Drosophila melanogaster: one gene and its partners. The protein of the gene in region 2 purifies or fractionates together with the protein of the main gene of each other region. This does not show direct contact. Each region holds a gene or a part of one and is shown on either strand. Other genes may lie near its edges.

What was found.
Region 1: the proteins of CG6340 (region 2) and Pcyt2 purify together in Drosophila melanogaster (affinity purification with mass spectrometry, with the first as the bait; one large-scale study listed by BioGRID). This does not show direct contact.
Region 3: the proteins of CG6340 (region 2) and CG8026 purify together in Drosophila melanogaster (affinity purification with mass spectrometry, with the first as the bait; one large-scale study listed by BioGRID). This does not show direct contact.

What each region holds. Positions count from the first base shown.
Region 1 is NT_037436.4:1,549,554-1,557,761, reverse strand, and holds Pcyt2 (phosphocholine cytidylyltransferase 2), read right to left. Parts: upstream 4,270-8,208; 5' UTR 3,866-4,269; coding exon 3,752-3,865; intron 3,685-3,751; coding exon 3,361-3,684; intron 3,302-3,360; coding exon 2,594-3,301; 3' UTR 2,447-2,593; downstream 1-2,446. Other genes in the region: CG12099 (uncharacterized protein), read left to right, coding at 48-1,490, 1,545-1,699, 1,759-2,193; Pcyt1 (phosphocholine cytidylyltransferase 1), read right to left, coding at 5,136-5,897, 5,961-6,284, 6,474-6,968.
Region 2 is NC_004354.4:15,478,051-15,488,744, reverse strand, and holds CG6340 (uncharacterized protein), read right to left. Parts: upstream 6,372-10,694; 5' UTR 6,271-6,371; coding exon 6,208-6,270; intron 5,564-6,207; coding exon of another isoform or gene 5,547-5,563; coding exon 5,325-5,546; coding exon of another isoform or gene 5,070-5,324; exon of another isoform or gene 4,365-5,069; intron 4,216-4,364; coding exon of another isoform or gene 4,177-4,215; exon of another isoform or gene 3,853-4,176; intron 3,624-3,852; coding exon 3,477-3,623; intron 3,414-3,476; coding exon 2,304-3,413; 3' UTR 2,133-2,303; downstream 1-2,132. Other genes in the region: Gmap (golgi microtubule-associated protein), read right to left, coding at 1,112-1,204, 1,270-1,503; CG6324 (uncharacterized protein), read right to left, coding at 7,728-7,795, 8,024-8,132, 8,209-10,694.
Region 3 is NT_033778.4:9,184,288-9,195,773, forward strand, and holds CG8026 (uncharacterized protein), read right to left. Parts: upstream 7,810-11,486; 5' UTR 7,462-7,809; coding exon of another isoform or gene 7,315-7,461; 5' UTR 7,143-7,314; coding exon 6,989-7,142; intron 6,060-6,988; exon of another isoform or gene 5,983-6,059; intron 4,934-5,982; coding exon 4,780-4,933; intron 4,722-4,779; coding exon 4,367-4,721; intron 3,979-4,366; coding exon 3,833-3,978; coding exon of another isoform or gene 3,727-3,832; exon of another isoform or gene 2,848-3,726; coding exon 2,688-2,847; 3' UTR 2,383-2,687; downstream 1-2,382. Other genes in the region: CG45085 (uncharacterized protein), read right to left, coding at 7,315-7,461; unpg (unplugged), read left to right, coding at 11,047-11,486.

The DNA of each region.
Region 1 (8,208 bases), on a different chromosome or scaffold from region 2:
TATATCCCGAAAAGGTTTTAATATTGGTGCAACCTTCTCCTCCGCAGAGTTACATACCAACAGCAACAAGCAGCGACACAGCCGTCGAAGGAATCAGGTTCCCACACCGCGCAACGATCAGCAACAACAGCCACAGCAGCCAGCAAAGCTACGTCCCAATGTGGACAAGCGTCCGAAGGCTCGCGGGTTTGGAGGCGGTTACGATTTCCCTTCACCCCGTGGCCAGGACGGGGCTTCAGGCAGCTCCCGACTAGCCTACTCCGCCACCGGCTACTCACGTAGCGGTGACTTTGACCATGAACTGAACTCTGTGTATACACAGGGCAGCAAGAAGCAGAATCTGAACCATCTGCTTAACTTCCACTGCGTGCCCAGGGAACTGGAGCGAGGACATCACCATCAGGCCCAACAGCACCACGGCCTGAGTGGCCGAAAGCAGCGCTACAACAAGGAGCAGTTCCTGCAGGCCAACTTTCAGTTCGTCATTAGATCGGGTGCAAAGGCTCAGGTTAATGGCTCGCCGGATGCACTCATCGATTGGAGCTACATCGAGCAGATCAACATACAGACCACTGAGGAGTTGCAGTGCCCCATCTGCCTGTACCCGCCTGTGGCTGCCAAGCTCACCAGATGCGGACACGCCTACTGTTGGCCCTGCTTGCTGCACTACCTCTCGCTGAGCGACAAGACCTGGCGCAAGTGTCCTATCTGCTATGACGCCATCCACGCGGGAGATCTGAAGAGCTGCACCATCGAACAGCTGAGGGATTTGCAAGTGGGCGAGAAGATTACCTTCCAGTTGATGCGGCGTCGCAAGGGCTCCATGTACATTGAAAATCATGTTGCAGGATTGGGCGAAACAATTGAACGTTTCCCCTTTGTGTCCGCTGGTGAAGAGGCTAAACGCTACTCAAAGTTTCTAATAGCCAAGCGGATGGATGTGGCCGCCATCATCGAGAGGGAGCGTAACGAACTGCTAGCCGAATCGGATGTCTCCTGTCCCGAGGATGTGTTCATCCAGCAAGCGCTGGTGATGCTTCAGGAGCGTGTTGAGAAGTTGGGTGTCGAGAAACCTGATCCGAAAGAGGATGAAGAGGAGACAGCACCTGTACTTTGCCTAGAAACCGAGACCAAGATTGATATTGAGAAGTCAGACGATGCCTCCATCTCGTCGGGAGAAGCATCCAGCAGCCTTAGCTACTCGAGCAACCATAATAAATACTATTATTTCTACCAGTCAAACGACGGACAGAATATTTACTTGCATCCCTTGAACGTGAAGATGCTTCAGGCTTGCTACGGCACCTTGGACTTGGGTCCGCTACTCATCGAAGCCCAAATCGTGCAGATGGAACAGCACTCTATGGATGAGGAGCATCGACGCAAGTTCACTTGTCTTGGCCACTTGCCTTTGACTTGTCAGTTTTCGGTTGTGGAAGTCGAATTGCAGCCGCCAGTGGTCACTGGAGGAATACTCAAGCTCTTTAAGGGTAAGTCCACTAGGTCCATGTACAGCATTATGCTTATATGTATTCCTTCCGCAGAGGACATTCTTCATCGTAAGAAGGAACGACAGCGTCGGGATCGCGAGGAGCGCAAGCGAGAGCAGCACATCAACGAGATAAATGACCGCCAGATGGGCAAACTTATTGCCAGTGCAGCTAACCTTGACCTAAGCTCCTCCCATGAGTTTCCCACTGTGAGCTAGCAATGCCTGCCATTAGTGTCAATTATTAATATGTGATATTTTATCTAAAGTGCGGCTTCGAGGAGGCTTTGCCCGCTCCCAGTGGCTCTGTGCCCATGAACATCAGCAACCAGGACCCCGGTTCCCGATACTCCAGTGTCACTCTGGGAAGTCCCAAGCAGGAGATGTGGCCCACTATTGGAAGTAATTCTCCTGGAGGTGGTGGCGCGCCATTGGATGTTCAAGTGGGCGCCTGGGGCCGTTCAGCTCCACCGCCGCCACGGGCTGTAATGGTCCCAAGAACCAGCGATGAGGACTTTGAGCAGCGATCTGTGGGCCACTGGGGTCTGGGAGAACTTTTAGTTGGAGCCTTGGACCAGAAAAAGCAAAAGGTAGGAGCAGCAAAATCCAATGGAGCAGCTCCAGCGGAATCGAAGAAGCAAAAGAAGGCCAAGGGCAAGAAGATGGTTCCCCTGTTCGCCACGGGCATGAACAGAGCTCCATGAAGAGCTAGATGATGATCGCTTATGAAGTTACAAGATTTATTGTATTTTTGTTTTTATGCGAATATTTCAACGTTATTTTAAATAACAAATGCGATTGTTCTATCATTGAAGAGGATTTGGAAAATCATTCAGCTAATCTATAATTTAACCCAACTTATATTCACAATACACATAAGATAACCAATAAAGGCAGCAAGTAAAATATCAAATAAACGCCTTTTTACTTTCTTGCCAAAAGAAATATTCATAATTTAACTGAAATTTATCGGAATGTATTTTAAGCGCATACTTTTTCTGGTAGCTCTTTTAAATATGTATAAAAGTGCCTACTGCGCTGTTCCATTAAACTTCAAACATATTTATTTATGTTTTAATTGATAGGAAGAGGCCAAATTCGTCTTTAGTCGCTGCGTCGCTCGTCTACGACATCCTTATGCTCTGGTTGCTCCGAGTAATTGAGGTTTGCTGAGGCATTCACCTTATCAGGGCGCTTTTGTTTTCGACTAAGGGATACGCAACTACCAGACCCGTAGTCTGGTGGCAGCTCCATGTACTCATCCTCAGAGTCTAAGTCGTCTGTTGCGTCTGGATCGTCACCGTTTACGGAGCCATTCGGACTGCCTGGTGGGCTGAGTGCCTGAATGATTCGGCCCTTGGACTCGTTCCAGAAGGTGTTAAGCCGCTCCCGGCCGAACAGGAGCAGGAAGGCATCGATGAACTCGCGCGACTTCTCCTCCCACTTGGTGATGATGTCAACCTTGACTTTGGTCAGCTCCCGCTTGCCTCGTGTCTTCAGCTCGTCCATCTTGTTCTGCAGACGGAATTTCTTCTCGGAGAGAAAGGAGACGTTGAGCTCCTTGGCTGAGTAGCCTCTGGCCAGGTTCCTGCGCACATATACATCGTAGTCCTTCACGATTCGGGCCACAATGTCCGACGTGGACACGCCCTCAGTGCGTTCCGTGGCCACAAACATTCCCTTCGCTTTGAGTGGAGCATATATGTCGTTGACTCCGCCAGCTCCATAGGGTATGTCATCGTGGGCCACAAAGTCGATTTTGTGCTCCTCGATAAACTCCTCATTTAGCGTCCACGGAGCATTCGGAACGATCTTGTGATGGATCGAAAAGTGTATAGAAACATTTCATTGGTTCAGTTTAACACACTTACCTCATCCACGTAGCGGCAGTGGCGCACCGCCTCGTAGCGCTCGAATCCATTCATAACCGTGCGTCCCTTCATCCTGAGGGTCAGCTCATCATTGCACACGCCGACGATGAGATAGACGTTGGGAAACACATTCTTGGCCTGCATGAGTTGGCGGGCATGGCCTTGGTGGAACAGATCATATATGCCATCTGCATAGACCCGCACCCTGCGCGTCGTCTTCCCAGCTCTGGCCATATGATAGGTGATCCTCTGTGTGTAGTCGCATCTCTCGAGCTCCAGCATGGCCTTGTCATCGTACGAGAAAGGAGCAGGCTGGCAAATGCTCTGGAGGCGTTTTGGGGTAGAGAGATTAGTATGTGGCAACTCCTGTTCCTCTAAGGAGTAGCCTTACAAAATCCTCAAAGTCCATAAAGAGCGGTAGCATCTTAAACTCCATCGGCGATGTCGGTGTGGCAGGAGCCGTCGACACTGGAGATTCGTCGTCCTCTTTCGGCATTCTGTCCATTGCTTATAAAAATATATGTACGAGTATACACAACTAAGTACAGCACTAGTGGTCCGCTCAAGGGGATTTCATCCGGACGACTGATTACATAAATTGAGACGGAACCGGCATAACCCTCTAGGTCTACTCTGTCGAGGATTGAGTCCGAGACTTTGAGCGAGAGATGTCCCCAACTGCGCACTAGCTGCGATCAGAATAAATTGGCGGCAACTGGTGGCGAATCAATACAATTGAGTCCAGCGGCTGGCGAGGCACACGACTTGGAGGCGGCTCTAGCAGTCTCAGGCCCAAGTCTCTGGCTCGGATTCATCGCTCATCTTCAATTGCCGCAAATTGCGGCGCAAGCAAATAGGAAGCAACGGGTCGGTCGCCTGACTTGGCACGGGTCCGCCGATTCGATCAGGCGATGGGTGCGCATCTATATATAAACCGCAGCGCCATTAAACAAATCAGTGAACCGCTTCAAGCCGGTGAATGGGCAGCTAATTGCGAGGGAATGGGTGTCCAATCAAGGCAAACGGTTTCATCATCATCGGTGGCGCGCGCTCAAGAATTCCAGCAGTGCCATGGATGGCTGCTGAATCGGATGCGCAATTGCTGGATAAACGTATGAGATAGCAAACTGATTCACAAGCCACTCGCTTTACTTCTATTTCCTTTCGATTCAATGTTTATTTTTCAAAAAATATTTAACAAAGCATTTGCAATAGTTCCGCTATTGCCAACTGTTACTAATTACTTGTTTTTGTTTTTTGCATTTTCCGAATGTATTTCGTAATTTGTTTGTTTGGATTTCTCTATATTGGTTGGTGTTCTGGTTGCGGTGTTGTTAACTTAGTTTAATGTTATGCGAAATAATTTAATATAAATATTTCTAGATATTTTCGGCACCTGAATCTGCCGCCACTGCCGATTGATTTCGTGCACAGTCCGTCGAGTGCCTAATACAAAAATGAGTCTTTTCCGCGTTGGTGGTTGCTTGTCCCACACACACACACACACAGCTAAATTAGCTACAGGATTCCCTCGATTCTCACAGATGGAGATGGGCAGGTGGAGTTGAGGCAGGAGGAGAACGAGTGCCAACTAAAACATTGGGATTACAATACCACTTAGGGCTAGAGTAAATATAAGTGTGTGTTCGTGGAGCCTGCGTGGCGATCCTGGGGCATCTATAGTGTGCCGTCGAACTAGTTGCAAGCAAGTCCATTTACAATAGCATTAAAGACATTAAGAGAAGAAGAAAAGATCGGGCTGCCCCGCAATAGAATCAATTGCTTCGACGCTCGTACTCCGCATCCGCATCCGCATCCTCGTCCCCATCCGCTTCCAAGTCGGGTGATTGGCTCTGCAGACTCTGGTAACTGCGGCGGGCCAGCGAGGAGCGCTTCTGCTTCGGCCTCTGTTTGCCGTTCAGCGATCCACTGCTGCCGCTGCCGCTGCCCCCGCTCAACTTCTCGGCCATCTCCAAGTACTCGTCAATAGTTTCGCTGTAGTCCTCGCCGCCCTCCGTGTCATCACCGTTCACTGATCCCGACGGGCTGCCCGGCGGACTGAGTGCCTGCAGCAGCTTGCCCTTCGACTCGTTCCACAAATGATTCAGGTTCTCACGTCCGAACAGCAGCAGGAAGGTGTCGATGAATTCGCGCGACTTCTCCTCCCACTTGGTGATGATGTCCACCTTCACCTTGCTCAGCTCGCGCTTGCCGCGCGACTTCAGCTCGTCCATCTTGTTCTGCAGCCGGAACTTCTTCTCGGACAGGAACGACACATTGAGTTCCTTGGCCGAATAGCCTCTGGCCAGATTACGACGCACATACAGATCGTAATCCTTGACGATCCGGGCTACGATGTCCGAGGTGGACACACCCTCAGTGCGCTCCGTGGCCACAAACATGCCGCGCGCCTTGAGAGGAGCATAGATGTCGTCCATGCCATCGGTTACATACGGAATGTCGTCGTGGGCCACAAAGTCGATTTTGTTGTCGGCGATGAATTCATCGGACAGAGTCCATGGCGCATTCTGGACGATCTGCAAGACAGAGTAAGATGCTATAGACTGAAAGATCTCTAATCAGTGCCGGGCAGAACATACCTCGTCCACATAGCGGCAGTGACGCACTCCCTCGTATCGCTCGAAGCCGTTCATCACGGTGCGTCCCTTCATGCGGTGGGTGAGCTCGTCGTTGCACACGCCCACAATTAAGTACACGTTGGGAAAGATGTTCTTGGCCTGCATTAGTTGGCGGGCGTGGCCCTGGTGGAAAAGATCGTAGATGCCATCGGCGTAGACCCTCACCCTGCGGGTCGTCTGTCCGGAGCGGGCCATCTGGTAGGTGATCCTTTGAGTGTAGTCACATCTATCCCGCTCCAGCATGGCCTCCTCGTCGTGAGAGTAGGGCGCCGGCTTGCAAATTGTCTGCAGGAAGAAAAGTTCCCGATTAGTTGGGCTATTCAACTGGACGATTGTGTCCTTGGTCTACACATTCTTTCTCGATCTTATCACACATCGTCGGAAATATACGACTCACGACTCGAACATCAATTTCAAACGATTTCAGCTACTACGATTTAGACTAACTTTGCATCCTAACTCTTGACTACTTACCGCAAAATCGGAGGCCCCGCTGAAGAATTGCTGCGAGGTGGATGCGGGCACCACCCGGTGATTCGGCGACGCCTGCTGCTGCGGGACGTACTTCCGCTTGACGCCGTTGAGGTAATCCGACTGTGGGGGCAGCAGGTCCTCGGCGGCTGCCGCTTCGCCGCCATCGTCGGCGTCGCTTTGTGAGATGGTGCGTGTGCTGTCCCGCAGTGTGGTGGCCGAGGTGGTGGGCTCGCTGGCTCCCTCGCCGACCACCAAGACACTCTCCAGCTGGCCGGGCCTGCTCTTGGACTTGCCGGGGCTGTTTGTGCGCTGATCCTGAACTTCCGATACCTTTGTGGCGCTGCTGGAGGCGGTGGACGAGGGCATGGCAATGGCTATCTCGTAGGTCCGCTTCCGGGTGGTCAGTGTGGAGCCGGGGGACGCGCTGCTGCTGGGCGTGGCCGGTGGCGATGTGCTATTAATTGTGCTTTTGGCGAGTATCGATGAGGTGGCCATCGCAGCGAATGTTTGGGAGCGGCAGTTTTAACGGCTTCGCGACGCGGTGACGGAGGAACAGAGATTCAATTGACTTTCAGCTGGAAGAGATCGAGAAACAGATTGGTTACCATCAATGCTCTACATTACTTTCCCATATTTTGTGTGTTACGTTTCGTTTACATCACATTTAGTCTTATGAAATTATAAAGTTTTTCTTTGAAACCGCATTTGGTTAGCTTTGCATTCTGTTTATATGTAGTTGCAAGCATCATTTATCAAATTTCTTCATTCGCTGGATTTTATTCAAATTTCCCTTTGCCAATTTTTCCACCACTCCAACTTGTAACTTTTAGCCAAAGGGTTAATAAGTTTTCTCAAAAAGGAATAACAATTTTACTTCAATGAACCAACACAAGTTGTATTCTTGTTTTGTTTAATCGACACATATGCACTTGTTTACCAAGCAATTTATAAATAAAATCCAATAAAGCAGTAAACAATTCGAAATAAACAAAGTTATTTTTGAACTACAATTTAATGCATTGGTGCATAAGCAAAAATATATTACACATTCGCGCAGCTAATGGAAAGATACTTTCTTGTGAAACCATTTTTATGTAATCAGATATTCCCTTTTCATTAACCCAAATATTTATGACTCGGGTGGCAGTAGTTCTGACTGTTTTGCGCTGACGACACGTGACACCTGACCCCGCGCCCCCAGCCACGCCCCTTTTCTTCGAAGTTGAGCCACGGCCAAATCGATTTCAGTTTTAATTGCCAAATGGCCGATTCAATTCGCCACGCGCATCGCACCAGAGAAATTCCGCAGAAAAAAAAAACGCAACTGAAACAGCGGGTAAACAACAACACGGCTCGGTGTCGGTAATAATAGACATACAGAGACACGTAGTACTCTCGATAGGAGCGGGATGATGAGCAAGTGAAGCGCTGGCGGGGAAGGCAGCAGGGTGGGCGGCCAACCCAGCGCAGAACTAGTTCCGAGTATGCAGCGCCACTTTACGTAAACAAGTGCAGACGGAACACGTGAGCCGGACACGATGACCCATTCCCCCCGAGAGCTGGGCGCCAATCCTCTCGTGCTCCATGGCACACCCAGCAAAAGCAGCACGCAGGAAGTTACAGTTGGGATTAGTTAAGTCATATGTACATATTATTTCAGCTACCGGGAATTTTCAATGACGAATTTCCCGAAGGTCGTTCTAAATCAGTTTTTGTGCCAAAAAAAAAAAACGAT
Region 2 (10,694 bases):
GATCATAATACAATGGTTCATTATTTTAAGAATTAAATAAAGTATCTACGATTCTAATAAAATTGCCAAAGAGTAATTCAATCATTTCGAAAAAAATATAACATCTAACGCTATGGTTATATATGCATGTCATTTAGTATTTTAAAACTAGATCTACAATGTGAAAAGCCATATTTTTTATATTTAAGGTGACTATGGAAAATCTGGTACAGTTGTGCTTCAGAAAGATCTCCATCGCCCCAGTGACCAAACCAAATGGCTCCAAATGCAACCCCGTCACCCTGCATTTTCAACGGGAATATCAGACACTTGGGGTTGCGCTGCAGTAACTTGCCTAATCAGAAATAATTCGGTAAATTGAACAAGCAGTTGGCGAACGGAGGGCTATGGAGCGATAGGGTTAGCAGCACGCCTAGATAAGGCTAACAGGCATATGGGGTGATCGAAAAGGAGACCAGGGATTTATGACAGCCAGGCAAATAGCAGACACCAAACACCACCGAATGTGAAATCAAATAGAAGTTGCACGGGGAAAAAGGTGAATGGATGTCAAATGAAAAATCAGTTTAAATTCAAATTCAAATTTATCCAGGAGAAAGTTAATATAAAACCGTTTTTAGCATTAGATTGCTAATCCGAAAGCTCAAGACGCTCTAATGAAATATGGCTTACCCTGCCATACTATTAGTACATTCTTTGCAATCGAGAACTTGGCTTATTTTAAACCCCCCTTTAATTGTTGGCAAAACAGAAATCGGTGAATTCTAGCGCTTTGTAATCGTGCCACGGAAAACAACAATATGCCACTGCAACCATTTTTCTCTCCGTGTGAAGCATACAATGTGGCATCAGGTAAACGCGAGAAGTGCAGATAAAACTAGGGTAGTGCCGACTCCTAGCTTATCGCAGTTTAAATATTAATTCAGGGATATGTGGCCAAAAGCGAAACAGAGAGCGCGAGAGCTGGGCTTATCGCTTATTTGAAAGATAAAGCCGGTCAAACACCACTCCACGCCGGAGTGCAATGTTTCCTGGAAGACGGAGTGGGCACCGGATGTGGCATGGCCACATGGGGGCCAGCTGCAGGTCCCTCGGATCAAACGTCACTTACCAACTGCGGTTCCCGCGTAGCTGATGTGCTGGCTGCCAGCTGGGATTCCTGTTTCTGCTTGCTTTTGGCCAGTTCTCGGCGCAGGGCGGCTATCTGAAAGGGGCAATCGGATGGCCATTGGTGAAGAAGCCGCAAAAGTGACTGTGAGTTGGCTTTACCTCACGATCCTTCTCCTCGCACCGCTTGTCCAGCTGCTCCTTCTGCTCCTGGGTTTCGGCCAGCAGTTCCAGGGCTGTCTTGGCCTGCTGCTCGGCGTCTTGGACGCTAGCACCTCCTGCTTGATGTCCCTCATACTCCAAGTCGCCGGGTCCTGCCGTTTCGGCCAGAACTTCCTGCGCCAGATTGGTTAGTTGGCCCTTCAGCTGGCTGAGACTGCTGTTCAGCCACGACATCTTCGCTGCTCTCTTCTGGGCAGCGTGGGCGGATAGGGGGCGTGGCTCTTCTCGACGAGATCACTCCGCTTTTGGCTAGCTGATTGCTAATTTCGGATGAAGTATGCTTAGTTTTTTGGAAACGATAATTTTTTTTGCGTGGCAGTGGCACAAACTCAAGCGGTTCTGTTTGCTTCGTTCCACAATTTAAATCCAATTTGGCTGTTTGTTTTAATAAAGGATGTGTAAGCTTTATATGCTTTTGTTTGTGTTCTAGTAGTATTAATTCTCTTATTTATTATTATTTTTATTATTAGTTTGTGATATGGTATCGATATCCGACGTCCTATCGTCAGCTGATTTTGTTATTGTTATTGTTTTTGGTCAGCTATCGATTGGCGATAGGCAGACCGACCGCCAAGGTGCATGGCAAAAAACTGACATCTACTAAACAGAGTGCCAAAATTTAAAATTGTTTATTGTAAAAAAAAATACCTTTATTTATTATTGAATATTCAAGCATTCTTCGATTAGAGCCGCTGAACTTTGTAGTTAAAGTTGGATACTCTTAGCATACTTAGTAATAGTGTAGACTAAAAGTCTACCTAACGACGCATTTATCCCAAGCAAATCCAAAGAGAGAGCCACGTCACTTCATAAATTCTGTTGCAACGTTTATTTGAAATCAAAAAAACAAAAAATTTTCTCAACACAAACAAAAAGTTGTTGAGGAGAAACATATTGACTGACTAATGAGTTGAGTGAGTGGCATGGTATTTACAGCCTGGCAGGGAGCCGATCCTCCTCCGTTCCGATCCCTTCTAGAAAGTACGTGGCTGGGAGCCGAAACCAAGCCCCACGCCACGCATCGTGTGTGTGGCGGCTCGCGCCATCTCGTACTGCTGCTCCATGTTGGAGAACATGCGCTGGCGCTGCTGCACGTCCGTGGGCACTTTCGTTCCGCCAGCGGCTCCCGATGGCGCAGCACCTCTTACTGCGCGGTTTCCCTCGCCTGCTGCACTTCCATTGGTGGACTCCGCCTGGCCGCCCTTGCCATCGTCATTGCCGGACGTACCAGCGTTCTTGATACCCATGAGCCGCATAAACTTGGAGGCCACCTTGCCGTCGGAGTCCTGGGAGAAGTGCGCGTTGCCCCACTTGTTCGCCGAGTTCTCGCTCTTCTTGGAGCCCCACAGTAGCTTGCGCTTCTGCTGCTGCTCCGCATAGCGATTGGCATTGATGATGCTCGGATTGTAGTAACTGGGCAGCTGGATGGGTTCTGCGACTGGTGCTGCTGCCGCTGGTGTGCTCAGCTCCAAGGACATCAGCGAGGGTATCTTGGGCGCATAGTTGGGCGTGGGCAGGAGACCGCCGCCACCGCCGCCGGATGAACCGGCTGCCATGGCTGCGGCTGTTGCATTGGCAGCTACCAGAGCGGCCGCTGCAACCCTCGCCGCTGCTGTTGCATTAGTTGCCGTTGATCCTGCTCCGCCGCCTGATTTAGCGAGCAGCATATGAGATCCGGCCACAGCTCCACCGCGAAGTGTTGTGGCTTGTTCTTCCTTCGGAGATCTGGAGCGGCTGCTGGAGTCGCGTTCGCGATATTTGCGTGACTGTTGCGACTGATGGCGGCGACGAGAGGGCGGCGTGCCCGTTGGTGTGCGGGAACCGGATCGAGAGTCCCGGCGACGACGACTGCGTTCATCATGGGATCGACGGACTGATGCTGCACTGACCGCTGCAGCGGCGGCTGACGATGAGTTGTTGTGATGATGATGATGGCGTTCCTTGCCACTGTGGTGGCGACTGCTCTTCTCCGAACGCCTACGGTCCCGATCCTTGTCGCGATCTCGCTCCCTCTCCCGGTCACGATCCCGCTCCCGCTCTCTGTGGCTGTCGCCGTCTTTGGTACGATGGTGGCGATGGTCGCCCTGTAAATAGCACAGACATTAGTTTGGCTGAGTTATGCTGAGTTGATTAGGACTCTGTCTCACCTTGCTGTGATTCTTGTCGCGTCCTTTGTCGCGACTGCGTTCTGAATCGCTGCGCTTCTTGTCCTTGTCCCTGTCACGTTCGCGGTCGCGGTCCCGTTCCCTGTCCTTGTCCCGCTCCTGGCGGTGGCGACTGCTGGGCTTCGGCTCCTGGAACGGGATGAAGCAACACATTGAGGAGAATTACATTAGAGCGTATGGATCTACGAATCTGCGCCGGCGACTAAGGATCTAGGTCTAGTTGCTAGATGCTTAGGATGCTGGAGGGGAAATAGAAAGAGGATTCGGGCTGTGGGCCACCAGCTGGGGTCCTTTCCGGGGTGTCCTAGATTGCTTAGAGAGTTGTTAGGTTCTATTTGATCGCTTTTTGTATACTCACTTTCGTGCGCCTTGATCTCTCTTTCGCATTATCTCTCTCTCTCTCTCTCTCTCTCGCTTTCGCGCCACCAGTGAGTGAGTGAGTGGGTGGATGGGTGGGTGGTTGTGTGTGTGTGTGTGTGTGCGGGCGGGCATGTGTGTGGTGAGTGTGATCGTTCTATTTGCTTTTACCTTTTTCAGTGGCTCACACACACCCACCAACACAGCCACAGAGTCGCACACAGGACTACACACACAGTGGTGGTCATAACAAATTTGATCGATTGTCGCACTATCGAAGAAGCTATTGGTAATCGAGCGATTACTACGATCGGGCTATCGTCAATTATCGTCGGTCAGGTTTGTTTTCGTTTTTTGTTTTTGACTTGTTTGTTTGGAAAATGGTTTTTCGTTTTGGTTCGATTCGGTTTCGTTTACGTAACAACAATAACAATGATAATAAAATGGTAGAGTTTAGTCATTTAAATATTGATTGGCATATAAAGTTTGTAGACTTAACTAAGCTGGCCGAACAACAACAACAACAATGTGTGTGTAAATCGCAAGCGGACCGAACAAACAGAATTTTCTGTCTTTGGATTTAATTTTGAGTTTTTGGCCCATATAAATCTGGCAGTAGCGAAATTTGGATGTAACGGGTTGGAGCGCATGCAGTCGATCGTGGAGATCAATATACATAAATATATGAATATTGAATTTTTCAGTTGGGAACAGCAGATGACTAAATAATAGCACAAGAAAATGCCTGAAGCCCCTAAAGATGCAGAATCTAACAAGATCTGCGATTTATATCTGTAACTAATGGAAGTATTAATCAATGATAACCGAAGTAAAGCTGAACTACAAGACTACAAGAAAAGATTGTGAATCTGTTCTTTTCTTTAATTGCAATATAAACTATAGAACCAGTGGGGAATGGACTGCATGCATTATTGTGTTTTAACATTCCATTAATTTAGTTTTAACAATGAAGTACTGCTGCCAATGACCTTGCCTATGTATAGAATTATTACTTTTGCTGGCGTAAAGGAATGGAGGCACTGAAAACTAGGCTGCATTATTGATTTGATGCAGTGTCCTGTTTTTTTGGCACAAGTACTTTTCATTCATTACGTGGCATTTTCTCTTTTTTATTTGAAGTGAATTGGCCAATGTATACAACTGGGATTAACTTTAACTCAAAAGTTTAAAAGATCTCGGTTTCGATTTGATTGATATCTATACATTAGACGTTTGATTTAAAGCGGACTCTGTGCTATTATTTTGCCTGCCTCTGTAAGTGCTGCTGCTGGCAGCGCAGTCGGCGATGGCGTCGCCCTTTGCGGCAGCGGAAGGAAACGGCACATGAAAGATCCGCTTGCGCTCCAACCCAGATACACACACACACACATACGTATGGAGTACAATAGCATATGGTATTTGGTATATATTATGGGAAGTAAATATCGATTTGGTGCAACGGCAAGTCTTTACCTCATCAATGCGTCCTCTGCTGCTGCTCCTATGACTCTGCTGCTGCGACATCGGCTTTGTCTTCTCTCTCTCCCGCTCGCGCTCTCTTTCTCGTTCCTTGCCGCGCGGACTGTTGCCGCTGCCATAGTTATTGTTGTTCTTCTGCTTTAATAAGCTATCAGTTGTTGTTTTCGGGGATTTAGCATGCGGCAAATGCCGCAGTTGTTGTTGTTGTTGTGGTGCCTAGGGGAATTTTGCAACTTTTAAGAAACAGCAAATTCGCATTATTTTACTAAAGCACTAGGATACTTGAACTATATTATTGGAGTGGTTAGTGGTTTTGATTTTTGCTCGTTTTTTTTATGTTTTTTTTAATTGATGGGATCAGTTATCTTTATTTCGCGTTTCCGCGCATTCGTACACACACACAAGCACACACACACACACACGGTTCTCAAATACGGCAATCTCTTTCCTTGCCGCGCGGACTGTTGCCGCTAACATAGTTATTGTTGTTCTGCTCTAGTAAGTTAGCAGTTGTTGTTGTTCTCGAGGATTTAGCATGCGGCAAATGCTGCAGTTGTTGTGGTGCCAAGGGAATTTTGCAACTTTTAAGAAACAGCAAATTGGCATTATTTTACCAAAGCATACTTGAAATGTATTATTGGAGTGGTTAGTGGTTTTGAATTTTCCTCGTTTTTTTATGTTTTTTGAATTGATGGGATCAGTTCTTTATTTTGCGTTTCCGCGCATTCGCACACACACAACACAAACACGACACACACGCGGTTCCCATATACGCAAGGAAGAAAAAAGTGATGAAGATGTATGTGTACACAAAATGCGCTCTGATGATTCTTTCTTTTTTCAGCTGCTTCCGGCCTTGCGGTGTAGGCATATTTACCCGTATCTGAAAGCCAGCATCCTCCTGGTCGTCCTCACTACTATAATTCACTAGGGCCTCCATTGTTTGGGGCCAAAAATTGTTTTAGGCCAAAAATGTGGCTGAAGCACGCAGGTGCGTCCAAAAAAAAAACGAATCAATTGCTAAAAAAGAAAGTAGTGGTGGAACTATTGATAGAGATGAAAAGTGTGGCCAGCGCGCTTCGAAGTATCGATAGAATTTCCTAACTATCCGTTGATAAATAACGGTATATTTGAAAAGCCGATGTTTTGAAAAACGAAACGAAAATAGGTAAAACACATTTCAAATACACTAAAGCGCGTGTTTTTAAACTAGCTTTTTAAGCTTAATTACTCATATAGTAAAGGCATATATAGAAAGGCATATTAATTCGGACCATTCGTACCCGCCTTAAAGGAGATCGAAGAATGAGGTACCTCGGTTGGCTTCAATTAAGCCTCATTGATGGGCGGATACTGTACACGGCATGGAGTTGCTAAACGGTACTGTAAGGAGTAATCCTTTTCGATTCCGTTATCCTGACTATCTGGGCAGCAATTAGTCTGTCAAACACCTTTGAGATCGAAAGGAGAAAGCTGATCGGCCTGTTGGAAGCGGGCTCCCTTTTGTTTCGGTTTGCCAGGTTTATGGATCATGGAACTCATCCAGAGCTTCCACTGAGAAGGAAAGTATTGCTGCAGCCTCGCAATAGCGTTGAATACCAACGTTATTAAGAAGATCAGCTTATGCTTCCCTTTTTTTAGATTCGTACAATTGTTCACATTCAAAAAGGTTGAAAGTTGTTTTATTTTTTTAGTAAAGATTTTATTATCATCAGTTGTTTGCATAAAAAATGTAAATATAATTGTGTTTTGCTTTAGTCCCTAAAATTGTATGGGAATGGATTAATTACTAGCTATCACAAAATTGTAATCACGAAATTGATCACGAAACTGATTACTTTATGGCACACAAATTCGATATTTACACGAGTCAAGCATTTTGATGCATGTTCGGTGGTTTTATCAGGTGTGTTTATGAAATGGTTAATGTAATTCTGTTTTCTGTTAACAATAGATTCGCATACGTGCGTAAATGCAATTTCGTTTTCTGTTACCAATAGATTCTCGTATTTGTGTTACCAATTTTTTTTTTCTGTTACCAATAGATTTGTGTGTAAATGAAATTGTTTTTTCTGTTAGCAAACAATTCTCGTATCTGTGCAAATGCAATTATTTTTTCTGTCAACAATATGTAGATACATATGTGTGTAAATGCAATTCTGTCTTCTGTTAATAGATATGTCTCCAAAGGTATACAAAAAAAAAAAGGCTCTTATATTTAGGCCACAAATAGATGTTTTCAAAATTTCTGCTTCAAGTTGTCCTGTTCCTCTGAGATTTTTCAAATTTCCAAATTCCTGTACTTGTTCGATGTCCCGGGTAGCGGTGGGAAGTTTTTTTTTATTCAAGGCGAGATCTTCCAGTTTTTTGAGATCATCTTTCTTTCCATCCGATCCTCTAGCAAAAACGCCCATCAGAGTCACTATCTTGGCGCTCCGACTCCATTTTGTTATTAAAGCGACGCTCTGTGTTGCGAATAAAGTGAATATAAGTGTACATAAGTCTTAAATGTCTCAAATGCTAAATACTACTGATCTAAGCGTTTACAAAATTCAAAAAAAGCTTTCTAGAATGCATGAATCTGTGGGAAATGCAAATAATGTTTTGGCATTGATACTACAAGCTGTCGATACTAAAAGTGCAATAACCCAACCTAATTAAATTTAGAAATTTATAAAAATGGCGGTCCTTACTTGCAACCTTTAGACCACGATTTGGCTTGCGTCCGCCCGACTCTTCGCCTCCATCAAAACGTCCTGGACGTGGTCCTTCCTCTCCAGACTTTAAGTAGCGCATATTCGGCTGAGGAGGTAGGCAAGTGCATATATTAGAGATATACATATATACTTTGCAGACCAACAAACGTGATTATCATTACCTGATTCTCGTGTTGCTCCTGGCGATGTCCCAGTAATGTCCTGCTCATTTTGCGCGCCATCTCTTGCATCTCCGATGAAAAGCTGCGCGTACGCTGCTGCGTCTGCTGCTGCGGCTGTTGGAACTGCTGCCGCTGTTGGAACTGCTGTCGCTGTTGGAACTGCTGCGGCTGTTGGAACTGCTGCCGCTGTTGGAACTGCTGCGGCTGTTGGAACTGCTGTCGCTGTTGGATCTCTTGCGGCTGTTGGAACTGCTGCGGCTCCTGTTGGTTCTGTTGGATCCGATGGATCTGATTGATCTGATTAATCTTATTGATATGATGGATCTGGCGGATCCGCTCTATGAACTGCAGCTGAATCTGACCAAATGGCGCCGAAGAGCCGGTAGACTCTTCCGTGCAGTATCTGCCAATGGCCGTCTCGAAGAACGCCTCGCCGTACTCGGTGTACATCTGGGCAGCGTACAGCTCGATCTGTAAAAGGTTGACCATGATGTGGTCCATACTAGCAAAGAAGTTCATGTAGCTGGCATTGTGCCACCAGTTCTCATATAGGTACTGGATTTCACTTTCCGGAGCCGACTGATTATTGGTATGCAAGTTGGCAAGCTGCATGGGAAAGTTGTTCGGAATCCAGTATGTCGGATCGGCCGTCACGTTCGAGGGCATCGAAATGGTTGGATTTGACTGGGTCGACGGATTGGGTGTCACATGTCTTGGCTTGGGATCATGGCGCTCAAAACTCCAAATAGTCTTGTTTGGCGGCAGCGTGCTATCGCTCCTATAGGTCTCCCAGACAACCGTGTTGGTGCGGACCTTAAGTACCACTTGCTCCTGATGGTGGCGGCTGATGAGTTCAATATTGTCGTTGTGTCTCCTGGCCATCAGCATCTCGTAACCAATGGGCCTCAGCGTTTGGTTAGCAAACGTATCCTCATCATCGGAATCGCTGTCACTGTTTATAAAGTTTAGACCCAATGGGTTGCGCCGCAATCTAACGGATGCCTGTATCAATGACTCGACATATGGTGTGAGTGGTTTTGTCAAGTCCCGAGGAGCACCATAATACACCGGCACATCGGGTAGGTCATCGTCGAGATCGATGGGCATCGTCAGCGGCGGGTCAAGTGGCGGAGCTTCACTTGGGGAACCAAGTAAGGGGTGCTCCTCATCCATTGGCTCCGTGGATTCCATTGGATTTGTTTTCCCCGTTGCATTCATTTGCGCCGTTAGATTCATTGCCTCCATTGAATTCACTGGCTTCATTGGATTTACTGGCACCTTGGAATTTATTTGACCATTTGGATTCACTGGAACCCCCATCAAATTTATATGGCTCATCAGATTCATTTGGTCCATCGGGTTCATTTCGCACATTGAATTCATTTGGCCCATCGGATTCATTTGGCTCATTGCATTCATTTGCCCATTTGGATTCCTTGGCTCCATTGGGTTCATTTGTCCATACGAATTCATGTTCATTTGGCCATTTGGATTCACTGGCCCCCGCATCAGATTCATTTGGCTCATTGCATTCATTTGTCCATTTGGATTCCTTGGCTCCATTGGGTTCATTTGTCCATACGAATTCATGTTCATTTGGCCATTTGGATTCACTGGCCCCCGCATCAGATTCATTTGGCTCATTGAATTCATTTGCCCATTTGGATTCCCCGGCTCCATTCGATTCATTTGGCCATTTGGATTCACTGGCCGATTTATTTGGCCCATCGGATTTATTTGACTCATTGAATTTATTTGTCCATTTGGATTCCCTGGCTCCATTGGATTCATTTGGCCATTTGGATTCACTGGCCCCCCCATCAGATTCATTTGGCTGATCAGATTCATTTGGTCCATCGGGTTCATTTGGCCCATCGGATTCATTGAGCTCATAGAATTCATTTGTCCATTTGGATTCATTGGCTCCATTGGGTTTATTTGTCCATTTGGGAATGTCTCCATTGGTTTCATTTGGACATTTGGATTCACTGGCTCCCCCATCAGATTCATTTGGCTCATCAGATTTATTTGGTCCATCAGGTTCATTTGGCTCATTATATTTATTTGGCCCATCGGATTCATTTGGCTCATTGAATTAATTTGTCCATTTGGATTCCCTGGCTCCATTAGATTCATTGGGCCCATATGTTTCATTTGACCATTTGGATTCGGATTCACTGGCCCCTTAGGATGAATTTGTCCATATGGATTCACTGACGCCATTGAATTCCTTTGGCACATCGGATTCATTGGTTTAATTTGACCCATTGGGTTCACTGAGTCCTTTATTATTTTTTGGTCCATTGGATTCACTGGTCCTATTGGATTTATTTGGCCCTTCAGATTTACAGGTTGGATTGGATTCATTGGCTCCGATGGTTTCATAGGCTTTATTTTCGATGGCTGCTGCTCCATGACTTTCTGAGACTTGCCAGAATTTTGTTTGCCTTTCTTGAAAAACTGATCATCGATGAAGCTGCCCAAGG
Region 3 (11,486 bases), on a different chromosome or scaffold from region 2:
TGGAATGTGTAGTATGACCATATCCGTAGCCCCGCTTCACATTGTTTTGATTTTATCGTCTGGCTTGTAACTGAGCTGGGTATCCAATGAAAAAGCAATTGTAATTTCATTACCATTTAATTGGTAAAATTGGCATTGGGAAAATGGCAATCGGTCGATTGAAGATTAGAAGCAAACTAATTCTGAAAGGGAAATTCATTTTGTAGTGTGGGTGGAAAAACGTAATAAAATGGGTACACTGATAAAAAAAAGCTTCGATTTTTATCTATAGTATAGATAGTATTAAAATATAAATGTTAATTTATGGACTTTTGAACTTGCCTTAAATTTGATTCATATTTATTTCAATAGGGAAATTAGAATGTTCGTGGAAAAATCCTTAGATGAAATTAAATTAAAATGTAATTATTTGTATCAGTGCATTGTGATATTCCCCATTGCGATATTCCACATTCCGTGCATTATTCACGCTCCGTAATCCCATCTGGTGGGTTTCCGCAAAGTTCTCTGAGCAACTAAAACGGCTAATGAGTACAAGCTGGTTGTGTTAACGGCCTGACGAGGCGAAATAGCGAAAGCCATTGCAACACTTGGCCAACTTATTTTTGGGCATTTCCCACACTTGCAAAAAAAAGAGTATATATTTTTTTTTGAAAAGTCATCATTTAACGCCAATTTAAAATCGCATGAAAGTTGGTGTGCTATGACTATTTGCTAATGCTTCACTATTTAAGATTTCCTTTTTCAAATTAAAAATAATAACCAGTAATTACCAAGTACATATGAATGTAGGTGCATTCTGATCCCTAACATATGGGTTCACGCCCTTTTAATTGTTTAAAGTATGTCCCTCCTCCCCACATTACATTTTGGCACGTGCCGGCTGTAGGCAAACACTTTCCATTGCGGGTTATGGTGGAGGTACTTACTCCGTTGTGCAGGTATCCGTTGTTCCTGTTGATGTCCATGTGGTTACGGTTGACTCCCGCGGGCATGACCGTGGTCAGTTGCAGCGCCTCTATGGCGCCGAGATCCAACTCCGGCTTGGGCTCGGCGTAGGCCGGAGAAGCACTTCGCAGCGAGAACTGGGAGGAGCTGAGCGGCGGATGCAGCTGGGTCTCCGCGGACGGGAAACAGATCTGGCGGCGCACGAAGATGGGCGACTCCTTGGCGCTGAGGGCGCCCAGTGAACCGGAGCCTGAGCTCACGGGTCGGTGTCTGTGCTCCACGGGCAGGTGACCGGACTGGGTGTTCGGATGCTGAAGATCCGTGGCCAGGTACTGGCAGCGCAGGCAGGCGCAGGTGAGTTCCGAGAGCTGATCGGCCGACTTGGATTTGGGCAGGGCCTTGACCAATCCGGCGGACTCCTGTTCCAGGCAGTCGCAGATATTCTGGCGTCCGGCGGAGGTGGAGACAACGCTACTCTGGATGACGCCGGTTGCCATGCAACCACCGATACGGGGTGGGTGAGTGTGATCTTTAGACCTTCTCCGCAGTTATCTAACGCCCCCGCCCAGTCAAGGTCGTTCACACGCGCTCTAGTGGCCCTCTCCAGGCACAGACGTATAACTCTCGCTCTTCGGAACGCGGATCCCGAGCAACATGTGGTTCTGGTCTAACGGTAAACAATGGCTAGACTGTTCTTGAACTTATCAGAAGAATATGTAGGTATTTATTTGCGAGTTTCACAGCTATATATTTGCGGTGTTATCTCAATCGATCGGTTTGTTGAACTCGACCGTTGCACTTTTTTGGACAATTTCATGCACTCGAATCGCTGGAAACTGGTTTCAAATGCAAATGGAACAGTTCGGTGGTAGCCACTTACTTTGGATCTTAGTGTCATAGGGCTTAAACGGTCGTTTGCAACTTATATTGTTTGCTCTTGCTGATAATTATACGAATCGTAAATTAAATTCACACACGTTCGATTTCCAGGCACGCAATACTACGCAAGACAACAACAACACGAGCCAAGACGGCGCAAAACAACAACAACAGTGATTCCGAGCCTCGAGACGTCCGACCTCCAGTAATTTCAGTTTATAACTGAACCGAAAACAAAAGGAAAACTTTGTCGCACGAACAAATCCGAAAGCGAGAGCTTTGCGAAAAGCTCTACGTAGAAAACCGTTAAACGGACTCCGAGTCGGACTAGATTGAAATCCGCATCGTTTGGCGGTAAATCGATTTTTAAGTTAGAGCGGCGTTAATTCAAATATAAAAATATATACTACTCCTAGAGGGATACCACTGTGGTTGCTTTTTGCAAAGCTTACACGATCTATAAAGATGCCAGATGGTATAATTTTCCAGATAGTTTATTTTTTTTATTATTATTCATTTAAACAAGGATATCACACCCAGAAAAAGGCATTCTTTGGCTCACAAAGATTTGGTTTATTTGCAAGAGTGAGGCTATGGACTTATATTTCACAGGTATATTGTAACACTTTCGTCTGAATTCAATCACAAATCCATTCTGATCCACACTTAGGAACAACAATCACTTTACTTACTACGAAAAGACCAAATAAGTCTTCGCAACAACTAACTAAACTTAAACTAAAAGCAGCTGCGCATGCTCAGCACGATTGCAACTGCCCGCTGACTATAGAGACATATGGAAATGTCGTGAGGTGATATATGTATCTTAGAAGCCTAAAAGGAATCCAACCAAAGGAAAATCACACGTCCGACGCATCCTCTTTAGTCTCAATTCGCTTCCGCCTGGCGAGCAGGAAATGCGAGACGTTCTCGTACACCAGAAAGGTGACCATGCAGGCAGGCACTACTCGGGTTAAACTCGCCTTCAGCCCCTTGTAGAAGCCTCTGTAGCCCTCAAACCTGCAAAGAGAACCAAACACAATGCGGTTAGAGACTGAGAACTGAAAGCTACATCTACTTACAGTAAGGGCGCATTGGCTGTTTCAGATTAGCAAAGAGATTCTGCACAATTAAGGGGGTGATCGAAGACTTAGGGAGCGGAAGGAGCAAGGACTACTTACTCAAGCTGCCATGAGCCCTTGGACAAATGAAAAGACGCAGGCTGGACGCGCTGACAGTGTTTGCTTTAGTTTGTTTCTTGGTTTTCATTTAGGTCTGCCATCGTGGCCTTTTAATATGGGTAAGTAATTTCGCATTTCTTATCTTTTCTTTGATTTCAATAAGATTGTTCCACTGTAGGACTAAGTTGGTTTCACAATGCGTTTATGCTTATTTACATAAATGTCAAGGTTTATCCTTAAAATTATAAACCATTTTCAAAAACTATGAAGAATCTTTTTGCCAAAACGAAATTTTGTATCAACTAAACAGTAACTGGTTTTTCTTTGTGCTTACACAATTCCAAGCCGTTATAGAATAAATAATTTAACTAAACTAAGAACTAAATATGTGTTTGTTTTGATGAAGAGTGCAAGAAATGCGTTTTTGAAATTACATTTCATGGGCAGGGGCTATTTTGACGACGCCCCGATCACATCAGTTACTTTCGAAGTTGGGAGTGAAGGATGTACAATAAACTAGATATGGAATACACTTAAGGCTAAAGTAAGGTGCTAGGGCTAAACCGAAATCGAGTTACAACAATAATACAGAATAAGTTTGTCATTTTCTGCTGTTAGCTGCACATCGGAGGAAACGAGAAAGATTCGTGTATTCTAGGTGCTTAGCTTAAATTCTCTGTCAGATTCCAGATTCGATGATCTAGTACTAATACTCCATCTAGCTGGTCAGCTTCTCCCAGATCAGCATGACCATGCAGATGTTGGGCGTGACGTGGACCAGGTAGGGCACCAGGCCCTTATAGAAACCTCGCATGCGCTCGTACCTCCAAGTCTGTTTGATGCAGTCCCAGGTGCCGTTGTATCGGTGATGGTGGTCCTGCAGCCGTGCCCGGACCACCTGGTACGGGTAGGTGGCCGCCGCTGCGATCAGCTTGGAGACAGCCGCGAAGGCCAAGTACTCGGTGGTGGCCTGTGGGTGAGGGAGCACACATTAGTGAGGCGAACAGAATGAGCTGAATGGCTGCCAAATGGCGGAGACGTCATCACAACCAGATATATTCGGATACAGATACAGATGTGGTCACACAAAATATAACAAAGCGAACAAATATTTTTCTGATTAAGAAAGTCTTCTAACGAAAAAAGTAATTGAAAAAAAAGTACTCGATAGATTTTCAATTTTTGAACGTTACGCATTAAACTTAAAGACTTCAAAGTATTTTGTTATTTGTATAAGTAATAATTTTGTGCTATTAAGTTAACCGCATCTGTTCACCCAATTTAGTATATAGGCGATGTCAACGCCACGCGCAGCTTGGTCATGTGATGGGTTGGTCATTTGTGATCTGCCTACTCACCAGCTTCGTGTCGATGGGCAGTTTGCGATATTCGTTGTAGGCGTTCTTCAGCTCCTCGTAGGTCATGAACTGGATGGCTCCGTGGGAGACGCCCAACATGCCGGGAACAAAGCCGCGGTACAGGCCACGGATTCCCTCCTCCTTGTATATCTGGCCCAAGGCGTGGATCATGCCCCTGTACTCGGCACTACTCGCGGCATCGCACTGCAGGCAGAGACGCGTCTTCACCACCCAGATGGGGTTGGTCAGCAGCAGGGTGAGAATTCCCGACTCAGCAGCTGCAAGCATGTTCATTGTGGGGCCCAATGGCATGGTCGTGTTTCCTCCTTGGATAAATGTCTTAATGGTGTTGTAGCTGAAGGGAGTATTTACATTTAGGTTTGTTACCATTATCAGTAGAGCAAAGTACTTACAACATGAAGTACAGGCCCCAAGAGGAGCCCGATCCCCAGACATTGGGGGTGACGCCTTTGTAGAGTCCGCGGAAGCCCTCTTGCCGGAAAATCGTGGTGAAGGCGCTGCTCAGTCCCCGGTATTGCGGCACCGTAGCTGTCCGGCCATCGTTAACTGCAAGTGGAGAAGGAATCACGCTCGTAAATGATAAACATGTCTAGACATTGCAGCCTTGGGTCTGGCACGATTATGATTATGGATACTGTCACTGAAGGGCCGGCGAATGCGTCATATTGTGTGTATTGCTCTTCACCTAGGCAACTGTACGTCTACGGGAATATCAGTTGTTGACTCCGAAACCAACAAGTCCAGGCCCGTGGCCAAAGTTGTTTTCGCCAAAAGCAGATAGATAGCATTAATTGCCAGCGGATGCGATAAGCTGGGAGCGTCGAAATCAGCCACTCTACTTGTTTTCGCGCCCATTAGCAGATACTTAGCTATTTATATGGGACGACATATTCTATATGAGCTGGGCAATCATAAGATCTGGCCTGACAACAGTACCAGGCAGAAGAAAGGGGCTCGTCTTCGCTTCTAGACTATTTATAGCATCCTCATGGGTGACCTTGAAAGGAGACTGGACAGCCCAAGAGGCAAGTTCTTTTGGGGTATTTACGACTAAGCAACCACATTGGTTTTGGCCAGCGTAAAGAGTTTTTCGACATGCACTCGATAAAGTCGCAGCGATAAGGTCGCAGAGTGCTGAATCAGTCGACTTCCCGCATGGCAACAGTTGGAACTCGTTTTTAGCCACTGGAACTGGCGCTTGTGCCACATAAACCGGACAGTTGCCGCTGAAAGTTGCCGTTAACAAAGCCATTGCAATGTACAGTCGAGTCAAGTGGTCACGTGATTAAAAACGAGCAAGAGCAGAAAATCAAAAGCAAGATAAACGGGTTTCGTTTGGCCAAAATGCGTCATCGCCATAAAGGCCTTGCGCAAGTCAATAGAAAACAGCTGTTGCCAAATCGAGAAGCCACCGGATTCAAGGAGGTTCATTGCGGCGAAACCACTAGCTCTGGATTTTCTAACCATCCCAACTTGGGTTCGCTTTATCAGTTCACAAAACTCGCATGGTGTGACTTTAATTCGCATAAACAACTCGTGTGCTGGTTGTTATTGTTTACAAGCCACTTTTCTGGTGAATTTACATATTCACTTACTGCGTTAACGATTTTTAGCACTGATCCGGGCAAACTGGACGGCAACAATATTTAATAATCAAGAAACCCGCTCTCGGTTCGTTGTTGTTGTTTTGGTATCCCGAAGCAGACTATACGGAAATGTTGTTCATGTATTTTGCGCATGAAACGCAAACGAGGCCAAACATATGATTCAGATTGACTACAAAGAAGTAGTTTTCAGCAAATAGTCATAAACACAATGGCCTGCGTAAGCTGATGGCTCATATTATAGCCATTAATATCAAAGGTTGATAGCTTGTATCGATCTTTGGCCAGGCGGCATAAAAGTAAAAGCAAGTAAACAATTCGAACTGCTGTTGCCCCACGTTTCCTGTCTGCAAAATCCAGATTAGACCAATTTGAGATTCCACACACAATTGTCAACACAACCATAAATTTCATCTTTCTATCGCATTGAGGAAAAACTATGTTTTCACGTGCCCGTGGCCCCATTCATCAGCATTGTTTATGTGCGAAAGCATGCACGTCACTACTTGACTACACGGGCTTCTCAAATTTTCCATGGTGCACAAAAAAAAAAATCAAGTGCGAATTCTCGGATACCCGAGTAGCGTCTCAAACTTTCCATGGAAAATTTGTAAAGCATTGCGCAAACAAAACGCGAGCGGCGAGTAAAGTGCAACAATAATCTGCAGCCAGACTGGCGGCATTTCCCCGCACGTGCCGAGTGCTCTTTACTACACAGCAATATACGTAGTGCTAGTTCCTATGGTGACATATACGTTTTTCTCTATCAGTTGACAATTTTCTTTTAATAGGTATAGTTTTTGTATTCTATTTTAAGCCCAGATTAATCAGAAAGGTGCCTATATTACAGAGCCATATTGCGAAACACAATACTTAAATTAGAGCACTGGCATTTTGGATTATTCAACAAATATATTTCCCTATAAGATGTTATATTAGTGTACTACTGCTTGCTCACGGAAATCGTGGAATTCCCCGAGGCGTGTGGATGACTCACCTGCGAATCGAATCTTGATCAAATCCAGGGGATGTAGAATGAGTGTGGACACCACTCCGCCGGATACTCCGGCAACCAAATGCTCGTACTTGACGTGTGCGAATACGTTGAATTTCTTGGGACTGCCCGTTGACTGTGCCTTGATCGGATTCATATTGTGCAATCTCTGGTGATTTCTTTTGCGCTCGTTCTGTATTATTGTTGCTATCGCAGGCTTATTGGCTGCCCCGGTTGAAACTCACTTTTGCTACAGTGAATTGTACTAAAACTACGTGCTATTTACACTCTTTGGCTTTTCGGCTGCTTTCGACACAGATGGGCGCAAATCAAAGGAAATCGCTCGTCGAAATTATCTTGTTGCTAGGCGCACAGTTGTTGTTGTTGCTGCTGCTGCCGCTGCTCCGGTTGTTTTTGTTGCTGCCGCTGCTACAGTTGAAACATTTGTGCCTTTGCTTTGTTGTTGCCCAGCTCATATTTTCACTCGTTTGTTGTCGTTTATGAAGACTTTGTTGGCCAAATTGCTGCCCTTTTTGTGTATCTGCTGTTCAGAATTGCTGATGCAATATTAACTCCGAAATTGTTTCAAAATTATTTTCGTTTGGCCATTCGTTTCTTATGTAATGCCGAACTGAAAGGGCAGCCTAAATAATTGCCTTCGTTTTTTGTGGTCTGCTCAGCTGACAAGCGACTGATTAGCGCACTGCAATTAATAATCAAGCACGTGTGGCAGCAATGAACATTAAGTAACAACTTTTCTACGCGCGAGCAGGCGGATAAATGCGAACAGCAAGCTCTCCAACGAAAAACGACTAATCGACTTTGAGCACAGTGTTACCATATGTGCGCCAGGGCCGATAACAATAAAAATACCATCCAGCCGCAGAATAAATACCAATGTACATCATATCGAATTTCAAAATGTCATATTCACACCACTTGATAAAAATAGGTATTTCCGCTTCATATTACTCAAGTATGTCATTAAACATGTTATTAAATAATTATTAAATATTTAATTAAATTATTATGTAATCTCATCTCTCTTTAAGCTTATATTAGATAATTCCGGTTTTATAGAAAAAAATCTATTTTTAAGACATATAATGTTCTATCTTCTTCCCAAAAATCTAGCATAAAATTACCTAATCGTCAAACATTACTTTTTTTTGTTGTTTAGTTACATTTATTTTGGTAGGAAGACATAATAATTTTGAACTTGGCTATCAGAGTACACCATATTCATATAGCCGTGCCACTCTCTTATAGAAATCCTTAGCAAAAGTCAATTAAATTTAAGGAGTATTATAAAAAATTACAAACTACTTGCAAACAAAAAAATGTTGATTGAGTATTGTACAAAGACTAAAGGAAAAACACCAATAATTAGGATACTAATTATACAACCGAAACAAATCAAATCCTTAAATATTAAGACTTAAACTCATTTTAAGGTCGATAAATAAGGAGTAGGAAAAGTTAAGTAGATAGAAACCCAATTAATTTTCGAATAACTTTCCTACGAAGGCAGTCAATACGACTAATTCCCATGCAAAGGTATTCAGCACCAATATAATATGGAATATGGAATATTCAATGAGTGGTCATGCAATCGAATGACCCGCTAATTACTGAATAAACCATGCTTGCCCACAAACGAGCATCGACAACTGTAATTTACCTTCGATATTCCAATTAAATTGTGTAAACAATTTGGCATAAGCCAGAGGTCCTTAATTACAGGTCGCGGAAAGGGCCAGGATAGAGGTATGTATGTATGCGCAATAATGGCTAGATGGATGGGGTAGAAGGGGTAAAATGACACAATTACCAACTGCAGTAGGCATCCGCCGGATCCGAAGTATCGCCGCAAATTGAGTGGGGGCGTGTCCAATGTTGGGCAAACATCGGACAGCTCCAGCTATATGACTATATGCTCCGTGTAGCTCCGTGTTCTGCGGTCACGGGAACACATGTTCGCCTTCACATTGCGTCGAATGGCATGAAATTTTAATTTCATTAGTCGAACGATATAATTTAGAGACCGCAGACAGCGAGCAATTCGAGGTACTTAGTTGCAGATACTTTTGTATCTCATTATACGTATGGCTAGAGCTTTAATTGTGTTCGTTTTGTGCAGTGTGCGCATTTCTGTGCATTTCAGGAATATGCCAAAAATTCGCAACGATTTGTCAGTAAATAATTTCGAATTGTTCTCCGTCTGCAGGCAATCAAAAAAATCTAAAAAACGCGCTCGCTCAAACGAAAGAGAGTATCTGTAGAGATGTATCTTTCGCCCTCTGCACATGGCACTGGGATTGGGGACTGCGCATTAAGGATTGGGGTACCACGGACTGGGGTTGGCGAATCCGGGGATGAGGAATGATGATGGTGTCAACAGTGCTCTGATTTATTTGAGCGCATTCAACGCTTCGTTGCAATTCGTTAATTTGCCCGTTTTCCGCCGTCAGAAGAAGGGAAGCTGCCCAGAAATATTTACCCACACTCGGCGGACAGTGTCTATAAGGATCCATCCCCGCCCATCCCTGCTGATTCTTGACAAGCTGCCAAAGTGCCGAACAAAACCCAACAGCTTTCATCATAATCAGAAAACCAAAATTATCAACGAGCCGCATAATTGTATTGTAATTTATGCCGCTGTGGAATCGGTTAAATGTTCGCAATGTTCGGTGCTCGTAAAAGATTTCAAACACCCAAACGTGACCAATGCCAATTTGCGCTCCAATCAATGGACGCCTCGTCACTTATGGCCAAAAATTTGGTCAATTACGATCAATTAAGCCATACACATGCAAATTATTGCCACCTGCTGCGCGAAGAACGATCGGCATATCAATTGTGGGTGCTTCGGGGGAATCGAGGAATCAGGGAACGGATGTGGATTTGTCCACAGCGGATGTAGGAAACAGTAGTCCCATCCATCTGCTTCTTGGGGACGGTGGGGGTCACGACTGCAATGGATTGTTGTCTGTATTTTGTGGATACTATAAACGTACTTTTGTATAACCTATGTATGTATATATACCCTATGTAATAACACTTGTTGGAGGTATTTATGCCTGTTTACCTTTAAAACGAGTTATATAAAATATTTAATTTGGCATATCAGGCCTACAAAAAATCATTGTTAATATTAATCCTTGCAATAAATTAGGGGTCATTAAATTATCAGCGATTGCTACCATCCAAGAAATACGAGTATTCCTTTGAATAATTCTGCCTGTTACGGATGTCACTTTCAATTAAACTCTCTTAAAATCTATATTAGTGCGCTTAAGAACCAACTAAATACCTCAAACACCACCAATTAAAATTAATAGTTGTACAGAGCTGTTTACTGGTATGTTTAGATAATTAAAACCAGATATCCGTAGACTAATAGATATGCACCTAAGTTGCAGATACAAATCGTTGAGCACACTGGAGTGTCTGCTAATGATGCCCAGCAGTCACACCCACTGGCAACTGACATTTGAATTTAAATTGGTCACTAATATGCCTCGCGAGAACACCATCCTCCATCCTCCGTCCTCCGCCGGCGGGAGTACTCCCCAATGGCCAAGGAGCTGGCGAAGATGGGGCATTAATGGCAGGGCGTTCTCTTCGCCAGTCCGGCGATGTCTGATTACCGAGCGATTCGAGCAGAACGCAATTACGGAGCGGGAACGCGGGCGGTGGTGGAGGTGGTAGTGGTGCTGCTCCATTGCCGGAAACTGGTTCGCTGTCCGCACCACCCGGCAATTAGCAGCTGGCCAATGGGAGCGCGCGCCAGACAGAGACACCAGCTGTTTGTCATGCGCCATATTGAAATGGAGGAGGAGCCAGACCATCCGTGGTGGTGGTTGCTCGGCGCCTCTGGGCTTCTGGGCTTCGACTTGGGTGCCGTACGCGTACGTGATGTCTGCTGCACTTGGACAGTCGCTCGCAGATCTCTGAACGGTTCACTGCGTCGTGTCTGCTCGGGAACAGAAACGCGTTGAGAAATTAGAAGAAAGAAGTTAGTTTCGATCGCCCTGAAAGTGTGCTTTTGAGTGGGCAATATGGAACGACCGGCCTTGCTGCAAAACGGAGAGATCGGCACCATGGAATCGCCCACTACCAGGCTGGCCAGCAAGCCCTTTCCCAAGCCCTTCTCGATCGAGAGTCTGATCGCCAACCAAACGCCTGCCACTGCCACACCACCATCGCCGCCCGAGGAGCGGGACCAGGAGCAGGAGGCAGAGCAGGAGCAGGAGCTGAGTGCCCGCGCCATGGTAGCCAGTTCGGCCCTGGGACTCACCCAGTTTCCGCTTTATAATCCCTGGCTGCACGGCTACTTCGCTCAGAATCACGAGAGATTAACGCATTTAATTGCCGGCGGCTGCTACCTGCCCTCCAGTCCAGCTGGTCATCCTGCTGCACAGCAACCACAGGCACAGGCACAGCCACAACCACCACCACCACATCCACCAACACATGCCTTGGAGAAACAGCTTCCACC